Oreochromis niloticus: one gene and its partners. The protein of the gene in region 3 interacts with the protein of the main gene of each other region in a biochemical or structural test. Links are inferred from orthologs where the notes say so. Each region holds a gene or a part of one and is shown on either strand. Other genes may lie near its edges.

Region 1 (3,755 bases), on a different chromosome or scaffold from region 3:
AATGAAGATTGAAGAAAATTTATTTAACACTGGCATCAAGGGAGTACTTTGTATCAGCAGATTTCCAAAGCCAAGGCATTCTGATCATATCTGTGCGTCGTTGTTAATTGAAGTTTCATTGCAGTTACACTGCTGGGCTTACAGTCAACTGAATGTTGAGAAACTCAAGGAAAGAACCGATTTCTGCCTTTAGAGCTGTGATTTTTAAGCCTTTGTCCCAAAGCAAAACAAACAGCAAACCAAAAATTAAGACTCGGCTGTCTTCATATGTGCAGAATGTCATGTCATACTCTCTCTTTTCAAATATCATCCCTTCTTTTGATTGCAATGTTAGCTGATTTTAAGAAATACAATGAACACCACCAAATTATGACTTGCATCCATCCTCTTATCACACAAAAACACATACATATGGTCAAAAATATGGGGCCACACCTCTTAGTCTTTGAATTCAGGTGTTTTTAGTTCCATAGCCACAGGTGTATAAAATCAAGCACCCAGCCATGCAGTCAGCCTTTAGAATGACTTGTGAAAGAATGGGTCGTTCTAAAGAATTAAAAGAAATTGAGTGTATTACTGAAACAGGATGCCACTATTGCAACAGGTCAGCGGGTGAAATTTCTTCCCTTTTAGATATTCCGCAGTCAGCTGTATTATTGTAAAGTGGACGTGTTCAGGAATCAATAACTCATCCACGAAGTGGCAGATCATGTAAAGTTACAGAGTGTGATCGCTGCGTGCTGAGATGTAAAGCACATATGTTCTGCTGACTCAGTAACTGCAGACCTGAAAACCTCCTCTGACATTAAGATCAGCATGTAAACTGTGCACTGGGAGCTTCATGGCATGGGTTTCTACGGCAGAGCAGCTCCTGTGGGTGTAATATGTGGGCAGCCTAGAACTTTTGTTTATGTAGTGTAGATTCCTGCTGCCTCTGGTTCAGACACAGCTCTCTTTTACCCTTTTAAAGCAGGTGAAGTCTCTCTATAAAAGGATGTTTAGTTTCCAAGGCCCTCTTTAGCTCACTATATTAGCATTAACAGATTAACTCAGGCTGAAGGCTGCTGACATCACAAGTCCAGCTGCTCAATTATATCTCCTCACTATCAATCAGGCCAATGAGGTCAACTGAAATGACATTTAGTACTTTGTGCCGTTACAATGTTTCGTTGATTCAAAAATCTCAGGGGACACCTTGACTTGCCTCAGGGCAGCACTGGGGAACCACAGCCTTTAAGTATAGGACCCAGTGGAAGTTATGATCATATGCAGACATATCCCAGACACATACACAACAATGAATTCTGTGACTTTACTCGCCATTAGGATCATTCAAGTGATTCCTGGAGATGATGTGTGGAGAGGCAGAGTGTGGCATCGCAGCAACTGTCACAAGTACGATTCATAAATGCACAAAATTCACTTGAGTACTGTTAAAATGAATGGTGACGCCATTGTTGGAGATTGAAATGGCCCAGTTCGTAAACACTGTTTTTGTTCGGTTCGGCCTGCATAGCTGGTTAAAAGGAAGGAGCAAACAGGGACTGCCTCATCACACTAAATTTCCGTTTTCGTGTTCAGACTTGATATAAAAGCTCACCAGAAGAACGAGGACACTGCTCGGAAGAAAACAGGCGCTGTCGCGTTTGCATTTCAACAAAAACCACCAAACGTAACTGTCGCGCAGCTGCAGTGTCTGCGACATTAAACGCGAACTTTTTCCAGCGTTTGAACTGTTAAAAATAAACATGGTAACGACAGCACTGCTGCAGAACCAGTTTAAAAAGCTCTGTGGGAAACACACACGTCAGGATTATGTCACCATTCCTCCACCACACACACCTAAAGCACAAGACACAGGTACATATTGAATAAAAAGTCTGTTAAGGGTCTGGACACTGTTAAACTTTAAACTTTGGGCTAAAATCCAAACGGCTGCGGGTCTCTGCCGTTGATGCTAACGTTAGCTACCCAGGCTAGGATGATTAATAGCAGACTTCGTGCCAGGATGTCGTATTTTATCGCTACTTAAATGTCACAAAAACATGACTCGTATTACAAAATCCACATTTATCTCCTTCATTTTCTTCCAAGAGTCAGTCTTGACTCACAGTGAACCTCTTTTGTTTGCTAGCTAACATTAGTGGCGCACCGCGGGTTTCAGAGCTGCTCTGCTAACGTCTGCTAATGTGTCCAAACACGCGTCAAAAGTCTTTAAATCACTCGCATCATAATTAGAAGCAAATATAAGACAGGTGCCTGGGGCAACACCTGGTAATCGATAGGGCACTGTTTTAAACACTTACCACTTTCAGTCACACTCTCACTACTGTCTCAGTTCCACCTGCTTCTCTTTTGCCGGAGTTTTGGCTGGAGCCGGCGTTTCCGTGAGAGTGGACGATACCACCGCTTTATGGGGGTGCAACACAAAACAAGCGTTCCCCTCTTCAGAGAAATGTGAGCGAACGCTCTTTTTTAAGAATGGAGGTTTATACAACATGACATTTAACCTCATTTACAAGAGGGATATATGGACTTAGACAACAGTTATCCAAACGAGAACATCTGATGGTTGTAATGTACACCCCGAAGAGCCGAATATATCGTTTTAGTTCTTAAAGAAATAGTCCCCCTATTTTTGGCTCACATGCTCACATATACTCATGTCCATGCATCCATCCATCCATTCATCCCAGCTGTCATAGGGCGAGAGGCAGGGTGTAATAAAGTTTAAAATATTTTTAACATTTATGCTAAACTGTAAAATCTCTGTCAGCTATTTTTCTAACATAGAGTTTCCTCTGAACTTTTTATTTATTTTTAGCTGTTCATAGTTCAAAAACTCGTCCATCACTCTGAGTTAACGACAAGCAAGGTTATCCTAGTTAACTAAAACGAAACATTGAGGTGGAGAGGAGGTGCTGGCTAGGTGCACTGGGTGTAGACGGGTGTCAGGGGTGATGTGATTTATGACAGAAAGGTAGTGATAGCAAGAGTAAAAGAGAAGCCCTCCATAACCTGCTGTGATGTATGGTTTGGAGACAGTGGCAGGAGACAGGACATGAGGCCAAAGACAGAGAAGTTTAGGATGTTATGATGTTTGTTCGGAGTGAGCAGGATGGACGGGATAGAGGCAGATGATCCAGGGATGATCCTGCAGTGAGAGCTTGACCTTTAATAACACAATTTATCTGCAAAATAACAAGTTTAAAAATAAATGTTATGGATAAAAAGTATAATCTACATGCAAAATATAGTTTAGTAGAAACATATGCATATAACAGGTGTCATTATATGACACTTTGCTGCTCTCTAGTCTTTGTTTTTAAAGGTTTAGTAAGCAAAAGAACATTTGACCTGAGACTTGTGTAGTGTTTATTAACTCAGAGTTAATGTTTATACTGAGGGCTGTTGGAACATTAATAAACCCAGTGTTCCTGTAACTGTGCGGTGTATGCAGCACATGATTGTGGCCCATACACCATCTCTTAAAATGTAAATATTCAGCACAAATTCTCATAGATTTCTTTAAAAGAAAAACTTAAATAAAAAAAAAAATCTAGGTCATTCACAGTGACATTGTATTTGTGTATTTACCATTTTCTTAATTAAGGTAATATGAAGTAAGATTAGATTAGATGAAACTTTATTTATCCCTCGGGTGGGTTCCTCCGGGAAATTCAGTAAATTTAACTGCAGAATAAGTCTGCAAACTACATCAAGTTCTTGGGATTTATCTTCTTGATAAATTTAAA
Region 2 (3,755 bases), on a different chromosome or scaffold from region 3:
AAGATTTAAAAACCCTGAAAAACAAAGCAAAACAAAAATAATCTATAGGCATGAATACAATGCTTAAACACTGTTCAGGTTACCATAGAAACCTTGTCAAAAGTAGTACAAGAGGAGTATCACCCTTAACCACAGAAACCTACCAGTGGGTTATGTGTTAAGTCAGAAGACCTATATAACTCTTATATGACGGCTGTAGGAGCTTTTCTTGGTATCACCATAGTTATAGGTAGTTAGTTATAGGTAATTAAAATAGGAATACAGTTCTATAAATATTGTGATACAAATAACTGCATTTATAGGTCATCCTCTGTGCTGTGTTCACATTAACGGTGTGTGTGTGTGTGGAGGGGGGGGGGTTCTCTTTGAACAGAGGAAGTTTTACCTCGTTTTATACTAAGCAGTAGATTATTGCACCATATTGTTTCTTCATTCTCTACTAGCAATAATGAAAGCAGATGAAAAATAAAAACACTGGAAACACCAAACATTGACAAAGAATACAGGGCTACTATGGTTATCCATGTCTCTTTAGGATTTTACAGCAACATATGTTAATTACACTGGCTCCAGATAGTTCGCATTTTTTTATACTAATATTTTGAATCTTGCAAGTTAGTATACAGGACTTTCTAGGTTTTCTAACAAGTAAAATGTGGCAAAAACACAAAAGGCATACAAGATTATGAAATCCTGACCAAGTTGCAACTAAACTGGAGTTTACATTAATCAAACTAAAGCTTGCTTTGTAAACTGCTTTCTCTACCTACCCATTTAACTTAAAAAATTGTTTCTTTGATGAATGCATGTTAATGAAATTAATCAGTCTGCTGACGGAAAAACATGAGGTGATCATGTGTCTGATAACTTATAAAATAGCTGACTTACAATCCTTCAGATGGCATTGTCTTTCTACTGAGCTCCATCATTGTGACCTTGCCATCCACAATGCTGAAAAGACACATTATCTTGTCATCATAAGCAGAAAGTGATAGCTCATCATTCCCAAACCTGCAGGTCTATTTTGGTCGACATGCTATGAATATGTCATTTGAGGACTTGCAAAGAGTTAGCCTTGTTTCAGGATTTTTCATTTACTTGTTTAGAACTGGAAAGAAGTCAGCTATGTTGCATACTGTGAACTGTGAAAAGCTGAGCTTTGACACGTTTGGTTTTAAGGAACTACATCTCAAAAGGGCCGCAATATTCCAGTTTGTGATGTAAAAGCTACAACTTCAGGAAACTTCTCAAACCAACTTCTACTTTTTGCAGTGATCACTGACCTAACAGAGATACGACCCTTGACTTCATATTTAATGCATGTATTCAACATCAGGGCAAAAAGCCAGTCCTGATCAATACATGGGGCATGTAGGGGCAAATCTCTCTCAGGTCTGCTGTGGCCAAGTTCACCTAACTAAGCTCAGATGGCCGTCTGAATTTCTATTTATTAGATTTTGCTTATTTGGCCAAATATAATCCACAATAAGCTGGCACGGGAGTTAGTAAACACTAAGCAGCCTAGTGACCTATACAGCCAGTAGTTTAACCAGATTATTAGCTCGTCCCGAGGTGAACTGGAATACGACTGTGTTACATATGCAACACTGTTATATCGATATATCCTCAGCTGCCCTTTACTAACATCTACAATAATATTATTTCAAACAAGTTAACGTTTGTTGGGCGGGTGAGCATAACAACACAAGTACAACACTCAAAAATATAGTGTAAACCGGCATTAAATAATCACCCGCACCTCGGACTTGTAACTATTACACACAAATTCAGATGGCAGTCGTTGTTACGCTGCTATTGAGCCACATTAGATCACCGCACCGGGCCATTTAACAGCTCCATCCCAACTGCCCGGCCCTGGCGACGTCGTCATAGCTAGCTAGCATCAGCTCGATTAACTAAAAGTTAGCTCTCGGCTATGCTAGGTATTTTTCGATTAAGACATCAAGAAATAACAAAATTATCACCGTGAAAAAACTTACCTTTAGGGGAAAACACATTCGGTCGAATGTGGATGTACATCACTTTGTGAATGGCTGAAGAAATTAAGTAGTTAAACAAGTTAGCCAAAAAATACGAACTGAAGCAAACTCGTCGCGTTAACTCAGATTGCTAGCTAACTAGCTAGCAGCTGATCAAAAAAAAAAAAAAACTTCCACATCAATGTTGAATTCTGTTCCACGCTTAGAAAATAAATAAGTAACAAGCTAGCAACTAGCTTTAGAGTCCATCTTCAGTTGTGTTCGCTGTTAGGTGTGAGTTAAAACGCCAGCTCGGACTAAAGCACCCAATTTCTTTGTGCTTCCCCCTTTTAGTCATTGAGTGGAGCTACATTATGGACATTTTCCTGCATCACTTCCTCCCTGCTTACAAGCACCCAACAGCTGATCCTCGCGTCTGCGACACTAACATACATCCTTTTTTTTAACCAATTGATGGAAGTATTCATATGACAAGGACAAAGTGGATGTTTTGTAGATCACAGTAATATCCGAAATGAAAAATGACTCAAAAACCCCACTGTAAATTAATTACAATTGCTCATACACATTGAACTGTAGAGGTGTTTATATTAATTTCTGCCTTATTTCTACTTTTTATCCACTAACAAGTGAAACAAATACAACTTTGACTAAAAGTATGTGAACTCTTTTATGTTTGTGTTTATTATTTAGCTTCTTCCCGATTAGCCATGGGTACGCGTCATCATTAGGCGACTGTCCTAGCAAGCGGCTGGTAAACTATCCTCTTCTTCAGACACAGGCGGTATGTCAATTCTTCGTTTGTAGTGTTAATTAAATTATGATGAGCGAATATTCGATTAAAAGCTGTTAATGTGACAGGCAGTAACGTTGACTTTAATTTAATGTCCCTGTCTTTGTACGTTTTGGTCAGTCACAATAAGGGCTAGCTTCAAGTTTGCAATTGATGCTAAAACATCAGTGAGTACAAATAACAAGAATGGTTTTATTTAATATACAGCGTCATTCAGTCTCCGCGCATACTAGAACATACAGTTAATACCTCTCCGTCAGTCATGTAACACTTTGTTTAATAACTCAGTGTTGATTTTAGTGGCATCTAGCGTTGAATAGGGCTATTATATTTAGCTATAATTTAAAAATCTAAAACTACAGTACTTTGCAAAAGTCTTTTCTTTATATTTTGCAAGGAAAATTTGAAATAATTTATATTATTTATATAATAGAAATACAGGCTAAACCGAGTTTTGCAGGCCTTGAAGGTCAATATTTGATATGACCACCTTTATTCTTCAACGCAACATCCTGAAGTCTCTTAGTCAGCTAACTTGCCATTTTATTAAGTAGTCTCCAGGAAAAGTTCTCCAGGCGTCTTCAAGGACATTCAAATCTCTTTTTTTATTATTTTTTTTATTTTCTGTTCTCCCACACTGTTTCAGTCATATTGTGGTCCATGCTCTGGCGGCCAATCCATGGCATTTCACAGACAGCTGTAGACACTCACTGTCATTGTTCTCTACTGACCTCCTTTGTACATAGAGTGACAATGATTTGTAAATGAATTTGAGAATTTGGATTCCTCACTCCATTAAGCCCTGTTGCCACTGATTTTTCAGTCCAGTTCTTGTGTAATTTGGCATACCCCAGGTTTCTTGAGACCATTTCAAATGTAGCTTCAGTGGACAGTTGATGGATCAACTAATGGGCCAGATGCATCTCTCAGGTCCTCTGTCTGGTCATACTGGATTTTTTTCC
Region 3 (3,755 bases):
AAACGTGTCTAAACATGAATGGAAAAACGGTATATAAGCAAAATTGAAAAAGAAAAAAGGTTATTTTCACGAACAGGCTTCCTAAAGGACATTCAAAGCTTGTCTTTGTATTTTTCTCCCTTTTTGTTCCCTTCCCTGTCAAGATGCTGCTTCGATAATGTCCAAGTCCAGCCTTTGGGGAGGCCAATCCATGACTGCTAGTGTTGCATTGTGTTTTTCTATCCAGGTATGCTTTTACTGTCACAGTCCAGTTATTATGTAATTTGGCAAACCTTTCTTGTCTTAAGAATGGCTTTTTTGACAGTCACCCTTCCACTTCTTCTTCTGTTCTCTATTTTTCAGTATCATTTTTTTTAAGACTGCAAGCACACCATGCTGAGCTATGCTAAGCAATGCTAAATTTTCAGCTAATAGCTCTTTTCCAAAAATGCTATTTTATTCCTGTAAAACTGTGTTATATCTGTATTTTGGATTTTTTTTTCATAAATGGGACCAAATTACATGTTATTATACGTGTTATAAATTACTGGAGTGCAAATAACAAAGTGTCTAAAGATCTAGTTTCAAATTGTTTTTTTGCTGTTTTCACCTCTTCATCATTCTCATCATTCATAGGTTAAAAAAAATCATCTGAAAATTATCAGGTTAAATGACTAAATTGAAACTGAATGCAAAAGCAACCAAATAAACACTTTGAAAGACCTTTTTAAGCTTATTGGAAGTAAAATATAAAGAAAAGAGGGATGGACGACAGACACTGGTTTAGTTGAGATTTTGTTTCATATCAGTAACCTTTTGCTGCAATTAGCTGACAAATATTTGGTAACCAATGTAAAAAGCTGTTAAATGGTCATGTAAAAAACAATATCATGTTGGTCAAGTGTCCTGGCAACTAACTGATATTTTAGCACGTGTAAAGCATTTAGCTAGAACTAGAACTTGTTGGTAAACAAATATATTCTGCCGACATTGTACGACCTGTACACAATGCTGTATTTGAATGAGTCATAAAAGAAAAACTTACCTTGGTAGATGATGATGATTAACTGACACAATTATTTATTTATTTATTTATTTTTTTGCGTGTTTGTCTATCAGTGAGCCCGCTAGGCAGTGTTTTTTTTTTTTCTTGCCCATTCTGATTGGTTGATTTGATCAGTACAAACTGGAATTGTTGAAAATTGGAGCTTTGCTCTTGAGCTGTTTGGTAAAGTTGCTGCATATTTGTGGAACCTAAGGTGAAAAATAAAACAAAAAACAAAACACGTTTTCTAATAAGAAAACATTTCCCATCATAACCCAGAGAATATGAAAAATATATCATTTTTGATGGTCAATCCCTAAACTGTCGCCGTAGTTTGGGCGATACCATTTTAAACGGGTGTCCTCGTGATGTTGATTTAAGGGGTTTATTCTTATCATTACAAACATATTTGGAATAAATTATTTAAAATATTAAACTATTATTAAATGCAAGTAACTACAGGAAATGGCAACAGTATATTTTATGACTATTACCCGTCTCGATAATACATCGGCATCTAACAAAATGGTATAATCCAAGAGGTAGGGAAGACCTGTAAGTGAGACAAATCAAGCCTGTGACAGCGGAGAAATCGGAGTTTTATAACAAGTAATTACTGTACAGAGGTAAGTACTATCCAGGAGTCCTCGCTCGACCTTAGTGAACTGTTTTGTTTAACAGCAGCACCGTGTTCTGCCGAGCTGTCAGTGTAAATGTGGGAAAATTGTGAAGAAGATGACAGTTTTGCTAGCGATAGCTGAGCTACTGTTAGCTTGCTGCTAGCCGACTGCTAGCTGATTCCCCAAAACTGTGCGGACTTGAGCAGGAAGAAGTTAGCTTGCTAGAAGCTAGTTAGCCTTTTAGCTCGCCATCCTATTTTGGGATTGGCATTCCGCTAGCTAGTAACCTTAACTTAGCTACGTTAATCGCGACTGCGAGAGGAATGTTTATTAATAACGCTTCGTGTTGTATGTCGGGCATCTGTAAATGTGAAGTGGCTGATGATGTAGCGGTGTTTTCTGTGACGTGAAATTAAGTGATATGAATGACAAGAAATAACACTGGGCCCAGTTTTCACCTTCTGGTCATGTAATCTGTGATGGTACCGGCGCACACCTAGAAGCTGGTACTAATATTGCTAGGTAACGTGCGTAAGCATGTCTGCTAAGTGATGCTGACACCAGTGTGTTCCAAGTTTGACCGTTAATAATGACACAGTGAACTTGTCTATTCTGTTGATCTCATCTGTTGCTGCCAAACTGATGGCTGATGGTGTTACACTCATTTCTGTTTGTCTACATATAATTTTTGCCTTAAGAGTAATGCTGTTTTCGTATTTGTATTATGGTTCATGTGGATGTAAAAATAAACAATCGAAAGAATACACCTTGCCATGGTTTCTTTTGTGTTGCCAATGCTACTGAGGCTGAGTTGACTGTTACTGTCTTATATAAAGCAAACTACACAGTTGCATCATTAATGAAGAAACGAAAGCCAGGAACTAAGCCCTTTATTTGTTCCTTTTTAAAATCTCTTTGCACACTCCTCTTTTCATGTGCATTTTTTCTGTCGTTCTCTTAGGCTAAAAGAGTACAAAACTGTACAATGTCCTTAAAGCCACGGATGGTAAATTTTGACGAGACATGGAACAAGTTACTGACAACGATCAAGGCTGTGGTGATGCTCGACTATGTGGAGAGAGCCACATGGAATGATAGGTTCTCGTATCCTTTACCAGCTCGCTTCATGTTTAACCAATTTAACCTGCAACATGAGATTTTTTTTTTAAGTTTCAGCACAGGGTTTGAGTGTAAATACAGATTTGCCAAAGCATTGTTGTCATTGTAAAATACATTTGTGTTTATTCATTTTTAATAGCTAATGTGTGTATATTTACATCCCTCACATTATTCCTGAACATTGTCACCAGTGACATCTATGCCCTGTGCGTTGCATACCCAGAGCCTTTAGGTGAAAAGTTATACACAGAGACCAAAATCTTTCTTGAGAACCATGTTCGTCAGTTGTACAAGGTAAGCAAAAGTTCTTCTGTGCTTTTTCTTTGCTTATCACATCGCATTTCCTCTAAAGCTGCCACGCTTGTGTGTGTATTTCAGAAAGTTCTGGAATCAGAGGAGAAAGTTTTAGTGATGTACCACAGATACTGGGATGAGTACAGTAAAGGAGCCGACTACATGGACTGCTTGTACAGGTAACATTTCTGCTTTTTTTTGTGTGTTTGTAATTTCAGTTTCAATTTGATGTTAGTGAGTCACAGAGTTGTTTTACACCATTTACTCCAGCCTTTTTTTCTTTTTATCTATAAACACAATGATTGGACAGCCTGTGTTGTTAGAGGTTTCCAGATTCAAACCATAAACATGTCTGTAGTTGGTTTTTCACATTCACTTTTAACTGAAGGCACGAGTTCACCCAGGCTTCTGTGATTGTCAAGTCCACTTGTTTGTTTAGCGTTCCTTAATGCAAAGTGTACTAATTCTGTTCCTTTACAAGGCTCAGTATTCCTGCCTTTAGTTTTTGTCCCTTAAAATATTACTTTGAATGTTGTTGTATGAGGTGCCAAGAGGCTTTCGGTGTGTCTTTATTCACTCTAAATCAATACTCCCCTGTAGAGCTCTTAGATCTATTTTTATGTGTGCTACCCACCAGACTCCCTGTGCATACATATGCTTTTGTAATTTATGTCGGTCCAAGCAAGAGAGAAGAAAGT

The links. The genes of interacting proteins can lie anywhere in the genome.
Region 1: of the proteins of cul2 (region 3) and dcun1d5, one has a biochemical effect on the other in vitro, tested with the Homo sapiens proteins (2 studies listed by BioGRID, with this or other methods). The link is inferred for Oreochromis niloticus from reciprocal best matches to the Homo sapiens genes CUL2 and DCUN1D5.
Region 2: of the proteins of cul2 (region 3) and dcun1d3, one has a biochemical effect on the other in vitro, tested with the Homo sapiens proteins (2 studies listed by BioGRID, with this or other methods). The link is inferred for Oreochromis niloticus from reciprocal best matches to the Homo sapiens genes CUL2 and DCUN1D3.

What each region holds. Positions count from the first base shown.
Region 1 is NC_031979.2:35,192,548-35,196,302, forward strand, and holds the start of dcun1d5 (DCN1-like protein 5), read right to left. Parts: upstream 2,459-3,755; 5' UTR 2,307-2,458; intron 1-2,306. UniProt on the Homo sapiens protein: Contributes to the neddylation of all cullins by transferring NEDD8 from N-terminally acetylated NEDD8-conjugating E2s enzyme to different cullin C-terminal domain-RBX complexes which is necessary for the activation of cullin-RING E3 ubiquitin ligases (CRLs).
Region 2 is NC_031973.2:19,638,383-19,642,137, forward strand, and holds the start of dcun1d3 (DCN1-like protein 3), read right to left. Parts: upstream 2,536-3,755; 5' UTR 2,001-2,535; intron 1,973-2,000; exon of another isoform or gene 1,760-1,972; intron 952-1,759; 5' UTR 889-951; intron 15-888; 5' UTR 1-14. UniProt on the Homo sapiens protein: Contributes to the neddylation of all cullins by transferring NEDD8 from N-terminally acetylated NEDD8-conjugating E2s enzyme to different cullin C-terminal domain-RBX complexes and may play a role in the cell cycle progression by regulating the SCF ubiquitin E3 ligase complex, after UV damage.
Region 3 is NC_031974.2:28,250,827-28,254,581, forward strand, and holds the start of cul2 (cullin-2), read left to right. Parts: upstream 1-1,501; 5' UTR 1,502-1,650; intron 1,651-2,605; 5' UTR 2,606-2,629; coding exon 2,630-2,748; intron 2,749-2,954; coding exon 2,955-3,057; intron 3,058-3,141; coding exon 3,142-3,236; intron 3,237-3,755.